Ovis aries: one gene and its partners. The protein of the gene in region 7 interacts with the protein of the main gene of each other region in a pairwise test. Links are inferred from orthologs where the notes say so. Each region holds a gene or a part of one and is shown on either strand. Other genes may lie near its edges. The genes, in order: FAM110A, CNNM3, TXLNB, synaptojanin-2-binding protein, PRC1, UBXN11 and USHBP1.

What was found.
Region 1: the proteins of USHBP1 (region 7) and FAM110A interact in binary tests that used the Homo sapiens proteins (3 or more experiments, as listed by UniProt). The two-hybrid records come from large-scale screens. The link is inferred for Ovis aries from reciprocal best matches to the Homo sapiens genes USHBP1 and FAM110A.
Region 2: the proteins of USHBP1 (region 7) and CNNM3 interact in binary tests that used the Homo sapiens proteins (3 or more experiments, as listed by UniProt). The two-hybrid records come from large-scale screens. The link is inferred for Ovis aries from reciprocal best matches to the Homo sapiens genes USHBP1 and CNNM3.
Region 3: the proteins of USHBP1 (region 7) and TXLNB interact in binary tests that used the Homo sapiens proteins (3 or more experiments, as listed by UniProt). The two-hybrid records come from large-scale screens. The link is inferred for Ovis aries from reciprocal best matches to the Homo sapiens genes USHBP1 and TXLNB.
Region 4: the proteins of USHBP1 (region 7) and synaptojanin-2-binding protein interact in binary tests that used the Homo sapiens proteins (3 or more experiments, as listed by UniProt). The two-hybrid records come from large-scale screens. The link is inferred for Ovis aries from reciprocal best matches to the Homo sapiens genes USHBP1 and SYNJ2BP.
Region 5: the proteins of USHBP1 (region 7) and PRC1 interact in a two-hybrid assay, tested with the Homo sapiens proteins (2 studies listed by BioGRID and IntAct). The link is inferred for Ovis aries from reciprocal best matches to the Homo sapiens genes USHBP1 and PRC1.
Region 6: the proteins of USHBP1 (region 7) and UBXN11 interact in binary tests that used the Homo sapiens proteins (3 or more experiments, as listed by UniProt). The two-hybrid records come from large-scale screens. The link is inferred for Ovis aries from reciprocal best matches to the Homo sapiens genes USHBP1 and UBXN11.

Annotation. Positions count from the first base shown.
Region 1 is NC_056066.1:59,933,525-59,937,716, reverse strand, and holds the start of FAM110A (protein FAM110A), read left to right. Parts: upstream 1-1,392; 5' UTR 1,393-4,192.
Region 2 is NC_056056.1:103,718,564-103,722,657, reverse strand, and holds the start of CNNM3 (metal transporter CNNM3), read left to right. Parts: upstream 1-1,294; 5' UTR 1,295-1,329; coding exon 1,330-2,683; intron 2,684-4,094. UniProt on the Homo sapiens protein: Probable metal transporter.
Region 3 is NC_056061.1:64,243,629-64,247,128, reverse strand, and holds part of TXLNB (beta-taxilin), read left to right. Parts: coding exon 1-196; intron 197-3,500. UniProt on the Homo sapiens protein: Promotes motor nerve regeneration. May be involved in intracellular vesicle traffic.
Region 4 is NC_056064.1:26,357,139-26,360,041, reverse strand, and holds synaptojanin-2-binding protein, read left to right. Parts: upstream 1-1,242; 5' UTR 1,243-1,337; coding exon 1,338-1,775; 3' UTR 1,776-2,403; downstream 2,404-2,903. UniProt on the Homo sapiens protein: Regulates endocytosis of activin type 2 receptor kinases through the Ral/RALBP1-dependent pathway and may be involved in suppression of activin-induced signal transduction.
Region 5 is NC_056071.1:20,993,648-20,997,147, reverse strand, and holds part of PRC1 (protein regulator of cytokinesis 1), read right to left. Parts: intron 949-3,500; coding exon 816-948; intron 462-815; coding exon 339-461; intron 1-338. UniProt on the Homo sapiens protein: Key regulator of cytokinesis that cross-links antiparrallel microtubules at an average distance of 35 nM. Essential for controlling the spatiotemporal formation of the midzone and successful cytokinesis.
Region 6 is NC_056055.1:240,540,999-240,545,032, forward strand, and holds the start of UBXN11 (UBX domain-containing protein 11), read left to right. Parts: upstream 1-1,234; 5' UTR 1,235-1,290; intron 1,291-4,034. UniProt on the Homo sapiens protein: May be involved in the reorganization of actin cytoskeleton mediated by RND1, RND2 and RND3. Promotes RHOA activation mediated by GNA12 and GNA13.
Region 7 is NC_056058.1:5,623,409-5,626,676, forward strand, and holds part of USHBP1 (harmonin-binding protein USHBP1), read left to right. Parts: intron 1-1,402; coding exon 1,403-1,528; intron 1,529-1,702; coding exon 1,703-1,839; intron 1,840-2,024; coding exon 2,025-2,165; intron 2,166-2,453; coding exon 2,454-2,627; intron 2,628-3,247; coding exon 3,248-3,268.

The DNA of each region.
Region 1 (4,192 bases), on a different chromosome or scaffold from region 7:
CTCAGTCCTGTCTGACTCTTTGCAGTACCATGAACTATAGCCCTCCAGGCTCCTCTGCCCATGGAATTTTCCAGGCAAGAATACTAGAGTATTCTTTCTCCTTCTCCAGGAGACCTTCCTGACCCAGGGATCAAACCTGTGTCTCCTGCATTGGCAGGCAGATTTTTTTACCACTAGGGCCACCTGGGAAGTCCATTACGTAAATATAGTACATGTGATATTACCATTATGTATTTAATGCATATTTGTGTTGTACATAGTGCTTTGAAACATACTTTTGAAAAATTCAATCTTTCTTAGTGCTAAATATATTTTAATCATATCATTTTTAATGACTGTATAATATTCCTCAGCAAAAAGTGAGGATATTTAAAGGTACTTATCAGAGGGTTATGCCATGAGCAGTGATGAGAGTTTTGTCATGCAAAGCTTCTGGTATATATAAAAACCTCAATAAATTCAGTTCTTCCGCAGGATGGATTTATATAACCAATTTCCTTTCACTGAGCACTTAAGTTATTTTCATTATTTTGCCATGATAAAGAACGCAGGGCATATTAATCTTCGCTCACATCCTTAGTAAATTTCGGGACTGCTGGGCATGCCCATCTTCACACTAACTTGCTCAGCATTGAGCAGTTAGAGGAACAGACAGGAAAACTGGCTTGCACTGGTTCACATAGCCTGTCAGCTGAAGTCAGGACTGCTGCTGCTGCTGCTAAGTCGCTTCAGTCGTGTCCGACTCTGTGCGACCCCAGAGACGGCGGCCCATCAGGCTCCCCCGTCCCTGGGATTCTCCAGGCAAGAACGCTGGAGTGGGTTGCCATTTCCTTCTCCAATGCATGAAAGTGAAAAGTGAAAGTGAAGTCGCTCAGTCGTGTCCGACTCTTAGCGACCCCTTGGGCCCACCAGGGTCCTCCGTCCATCAGCTAAGTCCCGGGTGAACAAGAGAAAGAATTAGCCGCTTGAGCTAAAGGGGCTGCTCAAAGAACCTGAGACCACCGGGAAGCTGAAGGGCGGGGAGGGACTGAGAAGGCAGGGCGCTCCCACGCCAGGCCGAAGCTAAGCCGTTGCCTGGCAATGCGGGCGGCGCGGAGTTCGAACGGAAGCGAGAAACCAATCAGGATGTCCGGGGCAAACCATTCTGGTGTCGGGGAGGGGGGTGAAGCGACGCGCTCATTTCCCCTTCCCCCGGTGCCCCGGGGTTTTCGCTTCCCCTCTGTGCCCCCAGACCTTCGCTCTGTCTGGGACCTTGGGACAGTCAGGTTCTCCGGCTTATCTCGGGTGCGGAGCACAGCTCCGAAGAGGCCCCCGCGGGTCCTCACGTGGGGCTTGGGCCTCCCGAGCCGTGTTGGGTGCGGCCATTCCCCGCCTGACTGGGTCCGAGCTGTCAGCCTCCTCAAGACCCACACTGGAGGAGCGGGACTCGCCTAGGCGAGGCTCCTTGTGAGGGCACGGGTGGTCCGGGGCGCGAACCCGGGTGTAAGGGGGCGCTGTATTCACCCCTGCGGTGCGTGTTCTCTCCGAGTCCTACGAGGGTACCCCATTTCACAGATGAGAACGCTGAGGCTCAGAAAGACGAAGTCTGGCAGAGAATCTGATTCAGATCTTTCTGCTCCATCTCGCAGTCTCTAGCATAATAGTTCTAGATTTGCCTTGAGAGACCCTGACAGGTAACTGGTGGTCGCTTTCTTAGCCTCTGATCAACAGGAGCATGAGAGCCCTGGCTGCATCCGCTCCAGGCTGCCTCTCCCCAGCGTCGGCCTGGGGTCTTCTCCCCACCATCTGTCTTCATTTCTCCAGAAAGCCAGGGGTGGACTTGGGGCTCACTTGAGATCCTTCAGCTTGCAGGGCTCTGAATTACAGAGCTCTCCCTCTCAGAGAGAAGATACGGGTGGCTCAGGCAGGACTGACATTTCTGAGCTAGGTGCCAGGTGGGGAGCAGATGCTTTGGCCCTGGAATTGCTGTAGGACTCTTGGGAATCTACTGCGGGTTGGGCAAAAGGGTAGGCACAGCCCTCAGCCAAAGACGCTAGTCACCAGAGACACTGGACTTGGTCCTGGGCCCAGGACCGCTCCTGGTAGAGCATCTGACCTACACCAGGCCTTACCTCCTGGGGAACCCCCTCCCCACCTGCTGGTTGCTATGGGTTTCCTTTCGTAGGTGGGCAAACTGAGGTTCTAAAAAGTTAAGCCCCTTTGCCCAAAACCACATGGTCAGACTTGGCAACTCTGGGGCTGGTTCCCAATCTGTCTGGCTTCCATCTTAGAATCCTAGACACTCAGAATTGTAGCATCTGGGAGTCTAGAATCTCTTCAAGGGGAATTATTTATCCTCTCTCCTCCAAACCAGTCTCCTGGCTTTAAAGGGAGCAGAGCTCTGGAAATTCAGAAAGAAAACAAGTCTTCATTCTTTCAACAAATATTTACTCACTTCATATGCTCTGCCTTGTCTATTTTGTTTTTCTCAGTAGCATTTACCCCATCCAATGTCCTATAATTTCACTTATTAGCGAGTTTATTATCTTCCCGGACTGGAATGTGTTGCAGGGAAGGGTTAGGGTGAGGTAAATGAGGTAATCGCCTCCAGTGTGAAACTGAGGGGTGCCCAAAGCCCTAGGAATCAAAATGACTAATGCTAACATTTATTGATCATTTTTGTGTGTTCTGCTGGTGGGAGATCAACTCCCTGGATCACAGTCCCTCATCTCTGTCACAATTACACATGCACCCCCTGACCTAGCTGTCCCACTTCTGGGCAGAATGATATAGGTGCAGTGAGCCCACAGTGTGGGGTTTTTGGGTTTTTTAAGGCTCTGCCTGAGAACTCTTTTATTTATTTGTTTATTTTTGGCTGGGCTGGGTGTTCGTTGCTGCCTGGGCTTTCTCTAGTTGCAGGCTTATCATTGTGGTGGCTTTTCTTGCTGTGGATCATGGGCTCTAGAACTTGGAGGCTTCTTTTGTTGTGGCCTAGTTGCTCCATGGCACGTGGGATCTTCTACCAGGGGTAGAAGCCATGTCCCCTGCATTGGCAGGCAGATTCTTAACCACTGGCCCACCAGGGAAGTCCCACAGTGTGGTTTTTAATAGAGACTAGACACACGCTCAGTGGCCATTGGTAGGGACTGATGGGCTCTTTATGTAGTACAACATATATTATTTTGTTAATAACATTATAATTAATAACATGCTAATAACATATTAAGAACATATATTATTCAATGAAAGAATAAATGAAAACAATGCACAGAACATGTTGCTATGTGTAAAAAAAATAGAATATATGTCCATTGTTGCTTGTATGTGCCTGAAATCTCCCTGGAAGGACATATAACCATCTGATCATAATGATTCTTGCAGGGAGGGGAACTGGGTGGCTGGGGATAGGAGTGGAGGGAGGTGTTTTTCTTTTTTTAATTTCCTTTACAGCTTATGAATCTTAAGCCATGCACATGTATCACCTGGTTGAAAAAATATGTGTGTATTATAGATTGTTTATCTAATCATGAGACCACTGCCCTGTCTATGATCTGTCATTAACTTTCTTGTGACTTTGGACAAGGTTCTTGACATCTCTGCGCCGAGAAAAGAAGCCATGATGGTGCGCTTCGGCCCAGGCAGAGGGCAGTCCGGGACAGGAAGTGGGCTTGGTTGTGGGTCTGTCCCAACTCCACCTTCCGCATCCTGTGTGCCAGGCCCTTCCCTAAGGCTTTGCGCGCAGTATCTCTCTTAGTCTGCACTGCGAGTCCCTTTGTCCTCATTTGGCAAGCTCAGGTGCAGACCTGAGGCCCAGAGGACTGAGTTGGTGGAGGTGTGCAGTTGGTGGGCCAAACGGGAGATTGCTGCCTTAGGCAGCTGCACCCACACCGCTTCTGTGGCCTGTTTACCTTTCTCTTCCTGAGGTTTGTGCAAGGTTGCCCTGGGCAAGGCTGACTGCAGGCAGGCCAGGGCACGAACATCTGGGAAAACTCCAGAAATAGTGTGGGGCCTGGCGTGGGCCTGGAGGATGCCCAGCTGGGTGTCTCTGGCCCTGGCAGCTGTCCTGGAGTCTTCTGCTGCCTGGAGCCTTCCTGGCTCCCTCTGGGGCAGGAGAGGGCCTCTCTGTCTCCACCGAAGTCTGGGCTGGACTTCTGCTAAGGAAAAGGAGAAGCAGGTGGAAGGGAGGGGTGAGGTGGAAGTGCACAATGTCATA
Region 2 (4,094 bases), on a different chromosome or scaffold from region 7:
CTGAGTCTATTATTATTTTTTCAAAAGAGGCATGCCAGTCCGGTGGAAAGGGTCAAAGGTCATAATTGCTTCTGCTGGCAGCTTATTCTGGAGTTTTTCACACAATACTTTTGTTGGTCACTCACCACAGGTTTACTCATTTTTGCACATTACCTTCCACACAAGTATATTTCACTTAATTGTGACCACAGTGCCTAAGCTTTTTAATAGTATTTTCATGACAACATATGTGTTTCTATACAGCCCTTGCAAAGACCATTTTAAATGACACGTATATGGATGCTCTTATCAGTCTACTTATGTTAGGAAAGTTGAAAATACATAAAAATGCAGAAAATACAAAAAAACCATTTTGTCGGGACACTTATAGAGAAGTCTTGTTAGCTTGCGTGTTTCCTTCCAACCAGGTAAAGTTCACATATAACAGGTTGAGGAACATTCCATACTGTCAAGGACCATACAGTCTTCTAAAACAACAATCCTGGGAGGATCCTCTTGAATAGTTCCTGTTGGTCGTTAGGAATTACTTTCCCAAGGATGCTCTCCTAGAAGTGAAGTGACCAGATACAGTAATTTCTGACAGAGATGCCAACTCCTAGTGTTGCTGGGATGGCGACAGGATATTAGGCTGGTCGCTTTGGAACCCCTCATCCGTGCCCGAGTAGTGTTCACTTTTCTCTAGTAAAGTGTATCAATAACGAAGTAGCTGCGAGGATCCAATGAGGCGGTGATTTCGTGTATTTACGTCCTTCGTTCTCTCTGGCAGGGGTGCAAGTTCATCTAAGGAGGGACTGAGTGTGTGTCACGTCCCAGACCCATAGCAGAGTCGCGCGCGATCAAGGAATACTCTCAATAAGCTTTAGCTTCCGACGCCCGGTCGTCGGTTCTTTTAGCCCTCTTCGAGGTTTGGGTCGTCGGTTTCTGAGGAAACGGACCGTCTCCCTTCGTTAAATTATCTATCTGCAATTTCAGGAGCTCCACTGCTCTCGGCGGCCCAAGTGCCGAGCCAGGGACTTCCCAGAGTACGGGCCTGGCCTCCCTGCGCTGGGGACGGCCGAAGGGAACTAGACCCCCGCGGAGAGCGGGCCAGCTGGCCGCCCAGCGTCCTCCGGGTGCCGCGGCCCAGGCCCACAGGGCCCAGAGCCCCACGCCCCCGGCCCGCCCCGGGATCGCGCCGCGCTTGTTTACTCCCCGGCGCAGCCTAGTCCGACCCTGGGGCCCGCCCCCGCCCGCCGCCTATTGGCTGAAGAGGCTCCAGGGCTGGCGACGATTGGCCCGGCGGAGGCGGAGAGGTAGGCTGCACGGGAGGCCGAGAGGGGGCAGCAGGCGATGGCGGCGGCGGCGGCGGGTCGGCTAGGCTGGTTGCTCGCCGCGCTCTGCCTGGGCAACGCCGCTGGAGAAGCGGCGCCGGGCCCGCGAGTGCTGGGCGTCTGTCTAGAGGAGGACGGAGCGGCGGGCGCGGGGTGGGCGCACGAAGGGGAGGTGCGGGCCGCGCCGGAGGCCACCTTCCGCTTGCGCCTCTTCGGCTCGGGCTTCTCCAACAGCTCCTGGTCCTGGGTGGCTCCTGAGGGGGCGGGTTGCCCCGAGGGCGGGCCGGCCGTCGCGCCCGACGAAGCGGCGGCTCCCACGGGCGAGTGGCGTGCGTTGCTGCGCCTGCGCGCCGAGGCCGCGCGCCCGCACTCTGTGCGGCTGGCGGTGCGCGGGGAGCCGGGGGGTTCGGCGGCCGAAGAGGCGGCAGCCCTCACGGGCGAGTGGCGCGCACTGCTGCGCCTGCGCGCCGAGGCCGCGCGCCCGCACTCGGCGCTGCTGGCTGTGCGTGTGGAGCCGGGCGGCTCGGCGGCCGAGGAGGAGGCGCCGCCCTGGGCTCTGGGCCTGGGGGCGGCGGGGCTGTTGGCGCTGGCGGCCCTGGCGCGGGGCCTACAGCTGAGCGCACTGGCGCTGTCGCCCGCCGAGGTGCAGGTGCTGCGCGAGAGCGGCTCGGAGGCGGAGCGTGCGGCGGCGCGGCGCCTGGAGCCCGCACGGCGCTGGGCGGGCTGCGCCCTGGGCGCGCTGCTGCTGCTGGCCAGCCTGGCGCAGGCGGCGCTGGCCGTTCTGCTGTACCGCGCGGCCGGCCAGCGCGCCGTGCCTGCCGTGCTAGGCAGCGCGGGGCTCGTGTTCCTGGTGGGCGAGGTGGTGCCGGCCGCCGTGAGCGGGCGCTGGACGTTGGCGCTGGCGCCGCGCGCGCTGATCCTCAGCCGCTTGGCGGTGCTGCTCACCCTGCCCGTAGCGCTGCCGGTGGGCCAGCTGCTGGAGCTGGCGGCGCGGCCAGGGAGGCTGCGCGAGCGCGTGCTGGAGCTGGCGCGCGGCGGCGGCGACCCCTACAGCGATCTCAGCAAGGGCGTGCTGCCCTGCCGGACAGTGGAGGACGTGCTCACGCCCCTCGAGGACTGCTTCATGCTAGATGCCAGCACCGTGCTGGACTTCGGCGTCCTGGCCAGCATCATGCAGAGCGGCCACACGCGCATCCCCGTTTACGAGGACGAGCGCTCCAACATCGTGGACATGCTCTATCTCAAGGACTTAGCTTTCGTGGACCCCGAAGACTGCACGCCGCTCAGCACCATCACCCGCTTCTACAATCACCCACTTCACTTCGTCTTCAACGACACCAAGCTGGACGCCGTCCTGGAGGAGTTCAAGCGAGGTAACTGTTGGGGAATCGCGGAGGGGACGCGAATGTCAGCTCTCTCTCCCCAGAGAAAGAGTGGGGTTTAGGGAAGCCTTGGGGAAAGGTCCCAACCCGGTGGACGACAGGGAGGCCTCTGAGCGCCCTTTTAATGAAGTTGATGGTTTTTTAGCTCTGAATGAACTTGCAAAATATCATTTAAAGCCTTTGGTTCCGAAAATGACAATACTATAGACAACAAAAAGCTTTTCCGGGCAGGCCCCCAGTTTGGGGAGATACGTGTGCTTGATTCTAACTCTCCAGCTTTTTACCGGCTCATTTTTGTGGGCTTGGGCTTTGTGGCAGGTTCGGACTCTTGGATAGAAACTGAAAGAACGTAGAGTATACGGTCTAGATACCTGGACGCTGTTGTTTGCACATATGTAATACCAAACTAGGTGAACCTGTGATGTTTTTCCAAGGCGTCCTTGTTAAGGTCAGTGATGGGCTGTTGCCTTCCTGGTTACAGAAAAGGGTATGATTGATCATTACTTCCTGCAATGTGAAAGAAACTTCCACTTTGATTTCACCAGAAGCAACTTGATGGAGGCCAGTCAGTCTCCCCTTCCTTTAAAAACAATAAAACAAAACCCAAGTAAGGGCTCAAGTCCTCTTAACTCCACATTTTTGTCCTCTCCTTTGACCCGGGTTCAGGTGAAAACTGAGACCCTCCCATTGTGAAGGTTCGGGTTCTCCGGCAGTCTCCCTCTTGGTGATTGGGCTTGAGGTCCTCCCCAGAGCTTGGTCATGCTTCTCACACCGGAACTTCTGTAAGGACACTTCTGGACTCTGAATGAGCTTGACCGTAAAGACTGCATAATTGAGGCCGAGAAGTGAGCAAGGCCCCCTCATAATGACTTCCTGATAGCTGTGAAGTCTCCAGGTCCCAGGATCCCATAGGAGGTTCCCTGTGAGCCCCTGGACTGTCAGGGCAGGGAGGCAAAGCTCTGCCGTAGTGACCATTAGTACTGCTGCATGCCAGCCACTAGTGGGCACCCTCCTGCACCATCTCCTTAGTTTTAAAGAATTAGGCAGTTACTGTTGCTACTGTTTCTCAGGATTGGGTGGGAGACTTTGATGGGCAGCTCTGGCTGCTGCCCTGGAGAATCTCTGGGTGCTTCTGCTTGTTTCCTCAGAATGTAGCCATGCAGCCCTGCTCTGCAGGAGAGGAGCCCGGGATCCGGGCAGGCAGAGCCTCCTAGGAGCAAGTGCTCCATCTCCGAGTAATATGGTATTTCTGAGGCAGTGGTGGTTCTCGTGGCTGTGTGGCCAGCCGGGCTGGCCCTGGAGTCAGCAGGGGAGGGTACCATCCTGCCCCTGCCATCTTTCAGCTTGAGGCCAGGCTTGACCACCAGGGCGGTGGCTGCAGGCAGAGCATAGCACCCTGTTT
Region 3 (3,500 bases), on a different chromosome or scaffold from region 7:
GCAGGGAAGGAGGGTACCACCATGGTCAAGGAGCAGCCTGAGAACACAGACCCACCTGACAATGAGGATGGAGACGGCGAGGAGGCCCCTGAAGAGGCGGAGAGAGAACCCGCAGCCACTGGAGAGCCATCCACAGCCAAAGAGCCTGTCAGCAACAAAGAGCAAAAACTGGAGAAGAAAATTCTAAAAGGATTAGGCAAGTAGTTACATTCTAATGTATGGTTTTTCTTTGAATTATTCCTAAAATGGGGCACTTCCAACCTTTGCTAAAAGCCATACCTCAAACTTGGATTTTAGCACAATAGCTTCCTTCGGGATCGCCCTACATCTTCTCTTACTATACTTGTCCCCAGCCCCCTCCCCCTCAACAGAACTAAAATGAACTTTTCAGTATGTTACCCATCTATTCTCTGTCCCTTGTGGTTTCCCACTGCTCATAGAACAAAGACCAGACTTCTTAACATTGTCTTTCAGGCCTTAATAGCTAACCCCAACCAGCTTTCTCTCATCAAGTTACCCCCCAAAGCCTCTTTTCTGAACACGCTGCCCTGATTACACCATTACTATCATCACCACCGTCTAGTAGTTGGTCATTCTCATCTTCTCTTTCAGTTCTTTCAACAGGCCATGCTCCACTCCCCGACAGGGCCCATGTCCATTCTATTTTCTCTACCTAGAAATCCCTCCCCACTTCCCAGTTCGGCCCTCTCAGAACTTAACTCATCACTTAGCTCACAACTCAAATGGCATTTTCTTAGTCTCACCCTGAAGTCTTGTTTTCCATTTCAGTTGTACTATATATCTTTTCTTCCTGACATTTACATTTGAGAGTATACATTTATTTTTGTGGTTATTTGATTAATACATCTCGTCCCCACTAGGTCTTCTATCTCAAGAGCAGGGGCAATGTGTGTATTTGGACATCATTGGATGTCTAGCATCTAGAACAGTGGTTGACATGTGCTAGGTGCTCAATGAATATTTCCTGAATATCCGTTATAAGGATGAATGAATGAGTGAATGAATGAAAAGGAAATTGTTCAAAGCAAAGCTAGTAGAATCTAGATTTAAACAAAGTCTAAATACAGGGATGGTTTTGTATATAAAATGATTGTCACTGGATCACTTGAGTATTTCCATTACTACACATATAAAATATTTTTTATTTTAATAAAACTTCAAAAATATATTGATTATGCTACTGCTGAGTCACTTCAGTCATGTCTGACTCTGTGCGACCCCAGAGACGGCAGCCCACCAGGCTCCCCCGTCCCTGGGATTCTCCAGGCAAGAATGCTGGAGTGGGTTGCCATTGCCTTCTCCAATGCATGAAGTGAAAAGTGAAAGTGAAGTCGCTCAGTCGTGTCCAACTCTTTGCAACCCCATGGACTGCAGCCTACCAGGCTCCTCCGCCCATGGGATTTTCCAGGCAAGAGCACTGGAGTGGGCTGCCACTGCCTTCTCCATATTAATTATAGAATGTTGAAAATTGCAGAAAATACTTTCACTTTCATTAGTTCACTGGTTCAGCAAATATTTACTAATGCCTAGTCTTTATGAGGTACACAAAGATAAAAAAAGATCTTTGGTTAAGGACTTTGGTTAAGTCTAGAGAGAAAGTAGACACATACACTAACTGCTATATAGGATAAGTGCTAGAACAGGCACAGGAAATTGTCAGGAGAGCATGGAGTAGGGGGGTTGGAAACACCTAAATGTCTATACAAGAAAGGTGAGAGAGTTAATTTTTTTAGCTATGAGTGAGGGCATGTTACTACCCATATGAGTGTCCTCTGCCTGTCTTCCTTGGTGAAATTTCACTGAAATACTCACTACAATCACTACCTCCTATGTGATACATTCCCTGACAGGCCCAGGTAGAGTTAGCATCATCTTCTGTAGTTCTCCATTAAATTTTCTGCAGCAATCATCTGTTTATATACCTGTATCCCAAGCTGGAGGGAGAATCTATTGAGATAGTGGTCACATCTTGCTCATTTTTGGAAGCTGGTGTGGCGGAGTGAAAGATCATGGGCACTGGAGTCAGAACTGGGTTCAGACTTCAGTGAATAGGTTATGTGCAAACCCCAAAGTATGTCTGTGCTGGCATAGGACCTCACTATGGGGCTTAAAAGCACTGCTGGTAATGCTTTCAAGAAGGGCTAAAAGACACAAACAGCTACTTTACCTACTCAGCATAAAGATTAACTCAGATAATACCAAGTTCTAAAGTGCAAGGTTGGAATCACTCTAGTGTTTTGGAACTTTGGGAAAGAGAATAAAGTTGTTCTGTGTTATAGAGGTATTTTCTGTTCTCCATCCAAGGCATCTCAGAAATAAACTTTTGCATTAGTCATTGTTAAACTTTCCATTGTTGAAAGTTAAGTCGCTCAGTCGTGTCTAACTCTTTGTGACCCCATGGACTGTAGCCCACCAGGCTCCTCTGTCCATGGGATACTCCAGGCAAGAATACTGGAGTGGGTTGCCATTTCCTTCTCCAGGGGATCTTCCCAACCTAGGGATCGAATCCAGGTCTCCTGCATTGCAGGCAGACGCTTTAACCTCTGAGCCACCATAATCACATTGCAAAGGTGAATGATTTCAAGTGTTTCTAACCAGGAAAGATCTTTGGCTTTATCACCCTAAAACTACTTCTACGTAGGAATTTGTATGTGTTATAATGGGGGATAGGTATGAAGAAAGCAGGGGAAAAGTTAAAGATGACCAATTTTTGACTGTCTTCCACGAGTTATTTCAAAATCTGTATTAACCTCATGTGCTGCTGTGTTCAGTAGCTCAGTCATGTCCAACTCTGCAACCCCATGGACTGTAGCCCTGCCAGACTCCTCTGTCCATGGCATTTTCCAGGCAAGAATACTGGAGCGGGTTGCCGTGTCCTACTCTAGGGGATCTTTCCGACCCAGGCATTGAACCTGGGTCTCCTGTACTAGCAGGATTCTTTACCTGATTCTTTACTGCACAGATGCACCTGGGAAGCGTATTAACCACATACTTACTTCCCTGGTGGCTCAGACGGTAAAGCATCTGCCTAGAATGCGGAAGACTCAGTTTCAATCCCTGGATTGGGAAGATCTCCTGGAGAAGGAAAAGGCAACCCACTCCAGTATTCTTGCCTGGAAAATCCCATGGACTGAGAAGCCTGGCTACAGTCCATGGGGTCGCAAAGAGTCAGACACAACTGAGTGACTTCACACTTTCCTTTACCAAATAATCAAAAAAATTTAGAGAAAGAAAAAAATGTCACAATTAATTCTGTCATTTTGTATAAATTACCAAAGTTCAATTGAATGTGTTTATCAGGACCAGTGTTTGTGATCAGAGTGCCCACATGGGTGCACACTAATTACATGCATATAAGCTGCTGATACTTTCAAGCTGTTCCTCTGAAGACTGTCGATATATTCTCTAAACATTGTACTATTTCAGCTACATTATGAGTTAAACTATATTTTTAGGCTAATTTAAATATGTAACCATTG
Region 4 (2,903 bases), on a different chromosome or scaffold from region 7:
ATTCTTGCCTGAAAAATTCCATGGACAAGAGGAGCCTATAGTGGGCTCTACAAAGTGGGCTCTACAGTCCATGGCATCGCTCAGACACGACTGAGCACACACACACGCTCCACTCAAATACAAATTGTCTTATTCTAAAGGAAAGAAGCCCTAAATGGAGAAGAAATAAGATCTCCAGTTGTTACATGGAGTGACTTACCTACTGCATGAGATGTTGATTCCTTGCTCCACCCGCTAAGAGCTGGGACAGCCAGAGAAGCTTCAGGGAATTTTAAGGGGAAGATCCTCAGGACGAGTGGTCCGGGCAGCTGCTAGGGCCTTACCCCCAAAATCCCCCAACCAGAGCTGGCTGGCCATGAGCAGCAAGACTGGCTGCTCATACTGCTTTGCCATATAATAGGTCAATAAATCAAGTGACAAGTTGTTGGGGTAAGGAATGGCAGCCTGAGAAGATGGCAGACTTGTGTCCTTATGAACCATCTTCCTTGAGTTAGAATCCAGGCTTCTTTTAACACTGAAAGAGGAGGGAGTAAGGCCCTGGTTCTGGCCAGACTCCAGGAGGGATTTCCTCCTGCCTTCAGTCTTTCACAGATGGGCCTGGTCAGGAAGATGCTTCCTCGTGAGCTAAACGAAGGTATTTTAGCTTAGTGTTCATTACCTGGGTGACAAGTGTCCCAGAGATGGTCCATTATGGGTAATTTAAGCTTAGAGGCAACATCCCGTTAGTGATTAACTTGTAGAAGAACACAAAGGTTCTTCTCCCTCTTATAGTCACACAAGTAGATTGGCAACGACGCCTGAGACTTACAGTCAGCTTTATTGATCATGGACACCTGTGTTCGTTTTACAGGCCACAGAACCGTTTCACATTCACCATTTTGGGGTCTCCTTTCTCGTCCTGTAAGGTCCTTCATAACCTTACATTGAGGGTCCACACAGCTTTTCCATTTCCCCACACACCCTTGAAACCTCAGCTCCTCCTGGTAATGCCTTTTCATTGCTCATTTTAGACTTCAGTCGCCCAGAAAGAATCTCATTGGCACAGCTCACCTCCTTGCACATGGCTGATATGGGTACCGGCTCTAAAATCTGCACTGCTGCTCATTCCACAACCTCTGGACGAAGGCTGGGCCAAGGACTGTTGTGATAAATGCAGCTATTTATTCAAACATTAATAGGCACCGACAGGTTTCCCTGCACAGGGCCAGATGCTCTGGTTAGAGAGATGAATAAGCCATGGCCGAAAGTGCGGTGTTGTGGCTGCTGCCGGTAGTGCTTCTCACCTTCAACCTGCACCGATCCTCGCTGACCCCGGTCGGGAAGCCAGAGATTAAAATATGAACGGAAGAGTGGATTACTTGATTACCGAGGAAGAGATCAATCTCACCAGAGGACCGTCAGGGCTGGGCTTCAACATCGTCGGTGGGACAGATCAGCAGTATGTCTCCGACAACAGTGGCATCTTCGTCAGCCGCATCAAAGAGAACGGGGCTGCAGCCCTGGATGGGCGGCTCCAGGAGGGTGATAAGATCCTCTCGGTCAACGGCCAAGACCTAAAGAACCTGCTGCACCAGGATGCTGTGGACCCCTTCCGTAATGCAGGCTATGCTGTGTCCCTGAGAGTGCAGCACAGGTTACAGGTGCAGAATGGGCCCATAGGACCTCAAGGCGAAGGGGAGCCAAGTGGTATTCCCATAACTATGGTGCTGGTGCCAGTGTTTGCCCTCACCATGGTAGCAGCCTGGGCCTTCATGAGATACCGGCAACGACTTTGAAAAACTTGCTTTCTTCCTGTGCTCCCAAAGAAGAAGATACATTTCTCTTTTTCTCTCACCCTCTCCTGCCAGTCTTCCATAACTTTTCCCTCTACATAGCCAGCTCATGATTTCAAGAGACTGCTACCCAACCAGAATCTTGCTATTTGAAATCTCTGAATCCTCATTTTCTCATGGGAGAGTAAAGGCAGTGTCTGAAGGAAACCCGAAAGAAGGACTTGCCTAGAACAAACGAAGAGTTATATATTTTACTAGAACCGCCAATAGAAGTTCAGCTACAACCCAAAAAATGGGAAAGGTCCAGTCTTCCCATCACCCTGCAGTATTCCTTTTTTTCTTACCTGGCATGCATCAAAGGCCAGCTGTAATAAGAGGAAAAAAGGATTTTTCTCTTTAATGATCTTCCTTGGGAAGTTTTTGTGGCCTTTTATTTAATTTCTAACTATTAATACCTACTTGGGCACCTACTTTGTATCAAACAAAGATGATTGAGAAGAACATTTCTACTTTTTAAAACAAACATATATATATATATACACACACGCACACACACATATATATACGTACATATTCATGTATGATATTATAATAGTGATGCCTTATGGAGAATTAAAGAAGTGGAAAGCAACTCCGGTTTCTAGGTTTCTGCTATAAGGATTAAGTGATAGTCTTCAATAGAAGAATTCAGTATGTAGCAAGAGTAATAGAGTGAGGCTTAAAAGAGGATAGCAATCTGAGTCATTTAAAAAAACGAAAACTAAAGCAACTAATTAAGAATCTTAAAAAAAAAAAAAAAATAAGCCATGGCCCCAAGGAGGAGGAAGACACCTCACAGGTGACAAGCAGAAGCTGTGGGTAGGGTCCCGTGTCACTTAGCTTCTTCGCACTGCAAGAGTCAGATTCACGAGCGAGGTCTCCTGTAGGTTTTCACATAGACTGGGACAGCCCGGAAAACTGTCAGCACCCACGGCAGCCCAGGGACTGACCGCTGCTGCCTTTGCCCTGGGCTCCTCTCACGCCTGCTTTTTCTATCTCGTACGTCCTCTTCCTACTGTGTGGTCTCTGCTGTCCCGTGTCTTCCACCTCATCTCACCCCTAGTCTTGGCCCCACATCAGCCTTGACCTCTC
Region 5 (3,500 bases), on a different chromosome or scaffold from region 7:
ATTTTCTTTCACAGAAAGAATGGAATCATATCATCTATTCCTCTTTTAACTAAGCTCAGAGTTAAAAAATTTTTTATGTCCTACAAATTGATAGGAATAGGAAATTTGTTTTTGATTAAAACATTGCAACACTTAGGTGTTTCACCTCTCAACAGGGAAACTTATTTATATAAGTGAAAAAATAGCTTTGCTGGAACCAAGTAACTAGGCAACATGTTCCACCCATTTCTCATGTCCAGTATCAGCCCTACAAGGAAACTTTCCACCTGGAGCTCCAAATCAAAGTTCTTCCCTCAATCTCAGACCCAAACAAGATCCCCTGACACCCTGCCACATACATGAAAAGGCTCGACATTTAACTCGCTGCACAGAGTGTTCAGCTCTTTCTGACAGACGGCTATGCTTTTGATGAGTCTTTCCTTCAGGCTTTCCTCTTCAGCAATCATCATATCCAGGAGGTCCTATGAGAGAGAAAACAGTCCTGTAAAAGTCCTGGGTTCTCCCCCATTAGCGTCAAACAACAACAAATAACACCAAAAACCTCACAGTTTCAAACTTTTAAGAAAGGACTTAAAAAAAAAACAGGACTTCCCTGGCGGTCCAGTGGTTAAGACTCCACACTCCTGGTGCAGAGGACCCAGGCTCAATCCTTGGTCTGGGAACTAGGATCCCCATGGTTTGGCCAAAACAAACATGCAAACAAAACTGGGAGGAGCCTGTGACATCCTAGAGTCACTTCTATATGCTATTTTAGATGAGACAACAACATCCTTACCCCTGTCCCACTGCAAAGAGGCCAGTGCTGCTAAACTCACCTTGATGTGCTTCTTTACAACCTCAGTTCTTTGTAACCGCTGGTCCTCTGGAATGCCAATCAATTCCCATATTTCCCGAAGGTGATTCAGGGCTTTCTGGAGACATACTATAGACTCCTCTGCCAGCACCTCACTAAAAAGCAAAAGAGAAGCCAGCTACATGAGCCACTGCCTCCAGTCTAAAAACTGTATTTACAGAAACTAAAACTAGTTTCTCAGTGGGCTCAAGGCTAAAAAAATTGGAAACAAGCATTCAACTTAGTTCATCTTTAACTACTCCCCTATCCTTCCCCCCACAAACACCACAACCCTGGCAAAGCAAAATCCAGTATCGTGTTACAGTGTAGAAATTCAATCTTACACTGTAAATTCAATCTTTTGAATAATACTCAGAATCTGGACTTCAATCAATGATTCTATCTATGGCAGTATATTACGGAAAAACAGACAAAAATGTCAGCTCCTATAAAACAGCTGGAAGTTTATTGCAAATTTGTTATTCATCTTTTTCCCTTCCAGTTTTATTAAGCTATAATTAATATATAGCACTGTATAAGTTTAAGGTATACAGCACAATGACTTGATTTACATACATCATGAAGTGTTATCACAATAAGTTTAGTAAACATCATTTCATATAGGTAAAATATTAAATTTTAAAATTATTTTTCTTATGACTGGAACTCAGTATTACTCTTTAACAACTTTCATAAATAACATACAGTGGTGCCAATTATATCGATCATGTTGTACATTACATCCCTATTACTTAATACTGATTTATCTGGACTTCTGTGGTGATTCGTTGGTTAAAACTCTGATTGCCAATACAGGGGACACAGGTTTGGTCCCTGCCACAGGCCATGGGCAACTGAGTCTGTGCACCACAACACCTGAGCCACGCACCCTAGAGCCCACGCTTTGCAACAGAGAAGCCACTGCAGTGAGAAGCCTGCGTGCTGCGACCAGAGAGTGGCCCCGCTCACAGCAACTAGAGGAAGCCCACGTAGCAGCAAAGACCCAACAAAGCCAAAAATACATTGATTAAATACAAATTTTTTAAAACCCTGACTTATAACCTTCTGACTGCCCTCATCCAATTCTTCCTTCCCCCTACCCCCAGACTCTGGTAAGCTAAAACTAATCTCTTTTTCTCTGAATTTGCTTGTTTCTGAAATATAATTGACCTATAACACTATGTTAATTCCTGCTAGAGAACACAGTGAATATTAGTGAACATATTTCTATACATTTCAAACTGATCACCAGAATAAGTCTAGCTACAATAGGTCACCATACAAGATATTACCTAGTTCTTGGCTACATTCTGCATACTATCCATTTCATACCTGTAACGTTTTTTTAATTTGGCTGCACTGAGTCTTTGTTGCTGTGGGATCTTCATTGTTGCCTGCAGGATCTTTTCGTTGTGGCATATGGGATCTCAGTTCCCTGACCAGAAATCAAACCCATATCCCCTGAATTGCAAGGCAGATTCTTAACCACTGGATGGCCAGGGAAGGCTCTGACAGTTCTATATTTAATTTTTTGAGGGATCACCAACTATTTTCCATACTGGCTACTCCAATTTACATCCCCACCAACAGTGCACAAGGGTTCCCTTTTCCCAGTATCCTCGCCAATTCATGTTATCTGTTATATTTAATAAAAGCCATTCTGACAGTTGTGAGGTGATTTATCTCATTGTGGTTCTGATCTGCATTTCCCTTTTGATTAGTGATGTTAAGCATCTTTTCACGTGCCCGTTGATCATCTGTATGTCTTCCTTGGAAAAATGTCTATTCAGATCCTCTACCCATTTTCAGTAAGGGTGTTTGTTTTCTTAATGTTGAGTTGTATACATTCTTTGTATATTTTGGATATTAACCCCTGATCAGTGTTGATGAGTATATAGAAAAGCCAGAACTTTTACACACTACTGGTTGGAGTGAATTAGTACACCATCTTGAGACTGTTGGCAGTATCTGTTAAAGTTAAGCTCTGGATGTGCTTTGCTACCAGTCAGCCAGGAGGCCTGGAACAAGTCACTGAAGTTGTTCTGTGCAAGAAATGAGGCTAGAGGCTCTCACTGGCCCCCTCTCTGTTACAGCATATTCAGGGGTTCTGAATCACCAGCCTACATCGCCACGAACATCAGTTTCTCCATAGTTTTAATATACTTATTTCTAAGACATTTTTCTAGCCAAGAAATTCCAATGTAAAGGTTTCCTGTCCTAGTTGCAGAAAAACTTTTGCACAGATACTAGTTGCCTATACCAGATGGCAATATCAATACACACATAATGAAGAGTGTTTAAAAGAATTTACTGGGACTTCCTTGGTGGTCCAGTGGTTAATCTGCCTGCCAACGCAGGGGACATGGGTTCGATTCCTGCTCTGGGAAGATTCCACATGCCTGGGGCAACTAAGCCGGGTGCGCACCACCACTGAGCCCATGCTCTAGAGCCTGTGCTCTGCAACAAAAGACACTGCAATGCGAAGTCCAGGCACCGTGTACAACGCAACTAGAGAAACAGCCACAAAGACCCAGCACAGCCAAAAATTAATTAATAAAAAAAATGAAAAGAAAACCTACAGAATGGGGAGAAAATATTTGCAAATGATGTGACAGACAAGGGCTTAATCTCCAAAATACACAAACAGCTCATACAACAATAAAAAAAA
Region 6 (4,034 bases), on a different chromosome or scaffold from region 7:
AGACATGCAGATAAAGGGCTTTGGTAGTTGAGCCAAGGTATAAGGAAGTGGGTGCCGGAAATCATAAGACACCCAGATCATCACAGCTGGATGACTGTGAGATAATGATAACAAAAGTTAAAAGCAGGAAGTGTTTTGAAAACTTACTCTGTATGGGTATTGTGATAGTTATTCAGTACGTATTGTCTCATTTAATTCTCATGGCAGCTCTGTGGGGTGGGTTTGTGGTGTTTGTTCAGTCACTGTCATATCTGATTCTTTGGGACCCCATGGACTGCAGCACACCAGGCTTTCCTGTCCTTCACTGTCTCCTGGAGTTTGCTCAAACTCATGTCCAGTGAGTCAGTGATGCCATCCAACCATCTCATCCTCTGTTGCCCTCAATCTTTCCCAGCATCAGGGTCTTTTCCCACAAGTCTAGTTTTCACATCAGGTGGCCAAACTATTGGAACTTCACCGTGAGCTTTTCCAATGAATATTCAGAGTTGATTTCCTCTAGGATTGACTGGTTTGATGTTATTCCCATTTAACAAAAGAAATTAAGGTAACTTGCTCAAGGACACACACACAGCCTGGGACTCCTGGTGCCAAAGACCATGCTCTTAACAAAACTACCTCTAGTTGCTCTAATCCAACAGGTTGTTTTTCATGTGAGGCTCAGGAAGGGGAAGGGTCTCACCCAAAGTCACTCTAAGTATCTTACCCAATGGCAGCAGTCTTACTCGAATTTTTACATAAAGGAAATAGAATCAGAGCGTCTCTTCGGGGCGCCAAGAAATTAGCAGAGAAATGCAGATTTAAGAAACATTTATTAAGTACTTGTATCATTTCAATTCATGCTCAAAAGAACTTCCCTTTAGTACTGTAGTGATCAGATGGAAAAACAAGCTCACCAGGATACATGTAATTTCTCCCAAAATCAATTTAATAAAACAGTGGCATGGTCAGGACTGCACATTCAGGTCTAGAGGCTTCCAGCAGCTTCGTGAACCTAATCCCAGTTCTCCGCTTTCTGTGCCTTGGAGTAATAGGAAAGGACTCTCAAATTGCCCTAAACCCAGAGTCCGCTCAGAGCGGCCGGTTTTGGGATTTGCAGTCTTCCCCGCGATGAGTTTAGACTTCGTGGGCCAATAGAATTCGAGTAGAGACAGCTGTACCCGCCTCCGCTGCCTCCTGGTTGCTCAGGGACTCCTCACGGATTAGCCAATGAGAAGCACAAGGGTCCTGGTTGCCTGGGAAACCGTGTGACAACAAGATGGCGGCGCCGCGGGTGGTTCTGCGGCTTGCGTGGTGAGTTACAGAAAGGCCTCAGACCTTTCTCCTCGTGGAGTCCCTCTCACATAGGCTGGGGCCCTCACCGCGAGAGCCTCGAGGATATGCGAGCCCCACATCCCGGCCCCTCCAGTAGACTCTCCGCGCCTGGGAGCAGATTCAGGCCGCTGCCTACCACGGCTACGGGCGGAGGCGGGGGGTTGGCGACGCAGCTTCCAGGGAGGGTCTGGTGGTGGAAGTCGGTGGTGAGCGCTTCCAGCTGAGATTTAGGGAATGAAGGTGTGCAGCCTGCTGGCCCGTGTCGGCGCTGGCGAGCACTGGGACCTGTTGCAAGACCAATTTGACTCTCAAAGCTTGAGTCTGAAGAAGCAGGCAGTCTAACCTTTAGCCGCCTCTGGCTTGAGGAGGAAGACACAGTCTCCCGCCCCAAGAAAAAACGCAAAGTGAAGGGAATAGACGTGGCTTTGCCCCCAGGGTTCCCAATCTGAGGGAGGAGACACAGCCCTTCTTCGCTCAAGAAGTCCCCAGGCTGAAGGAAAGGAATAGCCTTTGTCCTCAGGGGTCTCCTATGATCACATGGGAAAATTGATCTGGAGACTGTTGGATTGGCCTGGAGTGAGATTGGAAGCAGGGAAGTCGGTTTGGGGCCATTGTAACAGCCCCAAAGAAGGGCAGTGAGAGTCCCACTAGGATGGCCAGCAGGGGGCCACGGGAGGAGGAGCTATGTGTGAGAAACGTGCAGGGTTTACCCTGCAGGATTCCGGAACTGCAGGGATTAGAGGAGAAAAAGGAGGGAAATTTTTTGTGTTTGGATAATGAGGTCCTCTTCAGAAAGGGGAAGCGGGAGGAGCTTATTTCGAGAGATATTTGGTTTGGTTTGGAGACCAGGTCCTTTTTTTTCCCCCTATAATAGCTTTATTGAGATACAATACACATACTAGATACTTCACCTCTTTAAAATGTAAACTTCAGTTGTTTTTAGTATATTCACAGAGTTGTGCAGTCGTAACTACAATCAAATTTGAGAACATTTTCACCAGCCCCAAGGAAACCCTGTACCTTTAGCATCTCCCTCTCCCCAGCTCTTCCTAACACCTCCAGCCTTAGGCAACCATTAATCTATCTTGTCTCTATAGATTTACCCATTCTGGACTGAATCCTAACAGTTGGTGGTTTTTTGTGACTGATTTCTTTACCTTAGCATGTTTTCAAGGTCCATTGACACTGTGGTGTGTATTGCATTTCTTTCTTTTTTTTTGCCAAATAATATTTCATTGTAAGTGAAGTCGCTCAGTCGTGTCCGACTATTTGCGACCCCGTGGACTGTAGCCCATCAAGCTCCTCTGTCCACGGGATTCTCCAGGCAAGAATACTGGAGTGGGGTGCCATTTCCTTCTCCAGGGGACATTCCGGACCCAGGGATCGAACCCAGGTCTCCCTCATTGCAGGCAGACGCTTTAACCTCTGAGCCACCAGAGAAGGAAGGATATACTATATTTGTTTATCCACTTATTGGTTGATGAACATTTGGGTTGTTTCCAGTTTTGGGCTATTTACAAGTAATGCTACTTATGAACAGATACACAGGTTTCTGTGGATGTGAGTTTTCATTTCTCTTGGGTGTACACCTAGGCATGGAATTGCTGGGCCCTAAGATAACTGTTGAACCTTTAGTTCAGTTCAGTTCAGTCGCTCAGTCGTGTCCGACTCTTTGTAACCCCATGAATTGCAGCATGCCAGGGCTCCTTGTCCATCGCCAACTCCTGGAGTTCACTCAAACTCAGGTCCATCGAGTCGGTGATGCCATCCAGCCATCTCATCCTCTGTCGTCCCCTTCTCCTCCTACCCCTAATGCCTCTCAGCATCAGAGCCTTTTCCAATGAGTCAACTCTTCCCATGAAGTGGCCAAAGTACTGGAGTTTCAGCTTTAGCGTTATTCCTTCCAAAGAACACCCTGGACTGATCTCCTTTAGAATGGACTGGTTGTCCAAGGGACTCTCAAGAGTCTTCTCCAACACCACAGTTCAAAAGCATCAATTCTTTGGCGCTCAGCTCTTTTCACACTCCAACTCTCACATCCATACATGACCACTGGAAAAACCATAGCCTTGACTAGACAGACCTTAGTTGGCAAAGTAATGTCTCTGCTTTTGAATATACTATCTAGGTTGGTCATAGCTTTTCTTCCAAGGAGCAAGTGTCTTTTAATTTCATGGCTGCAGTCACCATCTGCAGTGATTTTGGAGCCCCACAAAATAAAGTCTCTCACTGTTTCCATTGTTTTCCCATCTATTTGCCATGAAGTGATGGGACCAGTGATGGGACTCCGTCTAGTCAAGGCTATGGTTTTTCCTGTGGTCATGTATGGATGTGAGAGTTGGACTGTGAAGAAAGCTGAGTGCCAAAGAATTGATGCTTTTGAACTGTGTTGTTGGAGAAGACTCTTGAGAGTCCCTTGGACTGCAAGGAGATCCAACCAGTCCATTCTGAAGGAGATCAGCCCTGGGATTTCTCTGGAAGGAATGATGCTAAAGCTGAAGCTCCAGTACTATGGCCACCTCATGCGAAGAGTTGACTCATTGGAAAAGACTCTGATGGTGGGAGGGATTGGGGGCAGGAGGAGAAGGGGATGACAGAGGATGAGATGGCTGGATGGCATCACTGACTTGATGGACATGAGTCTGAGTGAACTCCGGGAGTTGGTGATGGACAGGGAGGCCTGGTGTGCTGCGATTCATGTGGCCGCAAAGAGTCGGACATGA
Region 7 (3,268 bases):
TCCCTGGTTTTATTTTAGACTCCACATATAAGTGAGATCATGTACTATTTGTCTTTATCTGGCTGACTTATTTCACTTAGCATAGTGCCTTTAAGGTCCTTCTGTGTGCGTGCTAAGTCATTTCAGTTGTGTCCAACTCTTTGTGACCCCATGGACTGTAGCCCATTAGGTTCCTCTGTCCATGGGATTCTCCAAGCAAGAATACTGGAGTGGGTTGCCATTTCCTCCTCCAAGGGATCTTCCCAACCCAGGGATTGAACCCACACCTCCTGCGGCTCCTGGCCCTGAGGTCCTTCTATATTGTCCCAAATGGCAAGATTCCTTTTTTTACAGATGAATAATTTTTCATTCTATAAATATACTTACCACATCTTATCCATTCATCCATCCGTGGACACTTAGGTTGCTTCTGTGGTTTGGCTCTTGTAAATAGTGCTGCAGTGAACGTGCGGGTGCCGATGTCTTTTCAAGTCAGCATTTTGGTTTCCTTCAGAGAAATACCCAGAAATGGAATTGCTGTATCATATAGTCGTTCTATTTTGACTTCTTTGAGGAACTGCCATACTTTTTTCCGTAATGATTGTACCCATTTGCATTCTCAACAACGGTGCGCGAAGGTTCCCTTTCCTCAACATCTTCGCCTACACTTATCTTTTGCATTCTTTGTTTCTTTTGGCCTCGCCATTCAGCAAGGCATGCAAGATCTTAGTTCCCCTGACCAGTGATCGCACCCCTGCCTCCTGCAGTGGAAGGGCGGAGTCCTAAGCACTAGGCTGCCAGCGAAGTCCCTTTCTTGGCTTTTTGATGCTTGCCATTCTAACCGATGTGAGGTGGTATCTCATTGTGGTTTTGACTGCATTTTCCTAAGGATTAGTGAGGTTCCCCCAGTGGCTCAGCAGTCAAGAATCCGCCTGCAGTGCAGGAGCCACAGGAGACATGGGCTCGATCTCTGGGTCGGGAAGATCCCCTGGAAGAGAGCATGGCAACCCACTCCAGTATTTTTTCTGTTTTTTTTTTTTTTTTGCCTGGAGAATCCCATGGACTCTCATGCCAGAGGAGCCTGGCAGGCTACAGTCTGTAGGGTTGCAAAGAGTCAGACACGACTGAAGTGACTGAGCAGGCACGCATGCAAAGATTAGTGATGATGAGCATCTTTTCATGAACCTGTTGGACATCTGGAAAGAGAAGTCTTGATTCAGGGACTGCATGACTGAATGGCTGACCAACAAGTCATGGCTGAATGACTTGCCCAAGGTTGTACAAGAAGCTATTTGGCAGGATGAGAATCTGGGGGGTCCTACCTTCCAGCCAGTGCTCTTGCCACTGCTCCAAGAACAGGTCTTAGGGAAGAATGGCAGGTGGTTGGAGCCACCCCAGCCTTACATTCCCCATTTCCCCACAGGTCCAGGAGCTGCAGGATTCCCTGCTGAGGCTGGAGCCCTTTCCACCTCCTTCCTGTGACCAAGCAGGTGGCTCAGGTAGTGGTTCCAGCAGCTCTGGGGCTGATGGAGAGACCTGGGGCTCACAGGTGAGTATGTGAAACTAAAAACCACGGTCTGTTTCAGATCCTTAGTGTCTGGGGCCATGAGACTCAAATCCTGGTCATGTGATCCAATAGTTTCGGGGATTGGAAAAGGCCTAAATCCTAATGCTGGGCTCTCAGTGAAAATTCTGGGTGAATCAAGTCACCTCTTTTCGACAGGATCCCTTCTCCCGGGCTCACCCCCTGCTCCGGCGCCTGCAGAGTGATTCCAGCACCCAGATGCTTGGGTCTCTCCCAACCCAGCCCCTTGCTCCTGAGATGCACATCATGGAAGCCCAGATGGAGCGACTCCGAGGGTAAGAGTCACAAATGCTGGGCTCATAAGGGCACTGGTGCCGCCCAGCTGGGATATAAAGCCAGGAGTCTGGAGCTGGAGTGGGGGTGGGGTGGGGAAGGTGGGGATGGGGTGGGGAAATCAATGGTGTCCTAACTGCCCTTCAAAGTCACTCACTTTTCCCTCTTCCCCCACCTCCGGAGGCAGGAACATTGAGAAACTCAAATGCTTCAACCGCTTGCTGTCAGCTGTGCTCCAGGAGTACAAGGGCCGGTGTGAGAGCCTCAGCATGCGGCTGGGCCAGCGGGAGGCCGAGGCCACTGCGCTGCGTCTAGCCTTGCAGTATAGGTCAGTGCACCCCAGCCACGATTCACATGCTTTCTACTGCCTGGGAAGGAAATGGATATCCTCAAAGGATAGTCCTACTTCCCAGAGAGAGACGGAGCCCTCTCAGAAAAGTATTTGCCCTTGCCGTGGAAATTAACTTAGGGCAGTTTTCGTCCCAGGGTGCTAAAGGAATTTACAAACTCCCAGGGTTGGGGTTAGGAGGAGGAGTGACAGATCCAGGGGCAAGTGGGAGTGTCACCTACGCAACAGGATGGGTATGCTGGGGTGCTCAGAACTGCTGTCCCACAGTGAACACTGTGAGGAGGCGTATGGAGCCTTACTCGCTCTCCGGGAGGCAGACTCAGGAGCTGGAAAAGGAGCCTTCGTGGATGACTTGGAGGCAGCTGAGAAGGAAGCTCAGAGGCTCCTAGTGCAAGAGAAGGCTGCCATGGATGGAGTGACACTGCAGGATCCATGTCCAAGGTGCCCTTGGGAGCCCTGGGGACTGGGTGGGCCAGTGAGTGGGGCTCTGGTTGCAGAATGGGGCTCCCAGAACTGGCCCTATATTGGGGGCTGGCGTGGCTCCTGAGGTTGGCATTAGGCCTGCCGGAGTTGGCTGTTTTCTACTCAGCAAAGTTGACATGGTGGTTACAGCCATTGGGGGTGGGATAGGACCCACCAGGGTGGCATGAGGATGGCTGGTGGTGCCCACTGATCAGGTGGTATGATGGTGCTTAATGGGGTTGGCATGATGCTGGTACCCATAGGGGTTGTCATGATGCTGCATAACAGGGTTGGCAGGTTGAGCAATGGTGCTCATTGAGTTGGTGTGATGGCTTCCCTGTGATGGTGTGAGTGACTGTGCCCATTGGCGTGGTGGTGTTCATTCATCACTGATGAATGATCATTGGCGGGCTGATGTTGCCCGTTTGGGTTTACGTTATGGTGCCCACCATGTTAGTTTGACCGTGCCTACCACAGATGGCCTTGGAAGGAACCATCACGGTCAGTAAGATGGAAGATGACAAAGCGCACCAGGATTGCATGAAGTTAGTGTAGCCACGCTGAGCAGAGTTCACACAGGCCTCTCCTGTCTCCTGTAGTCCCGAAGGCAGCAGCGTGGA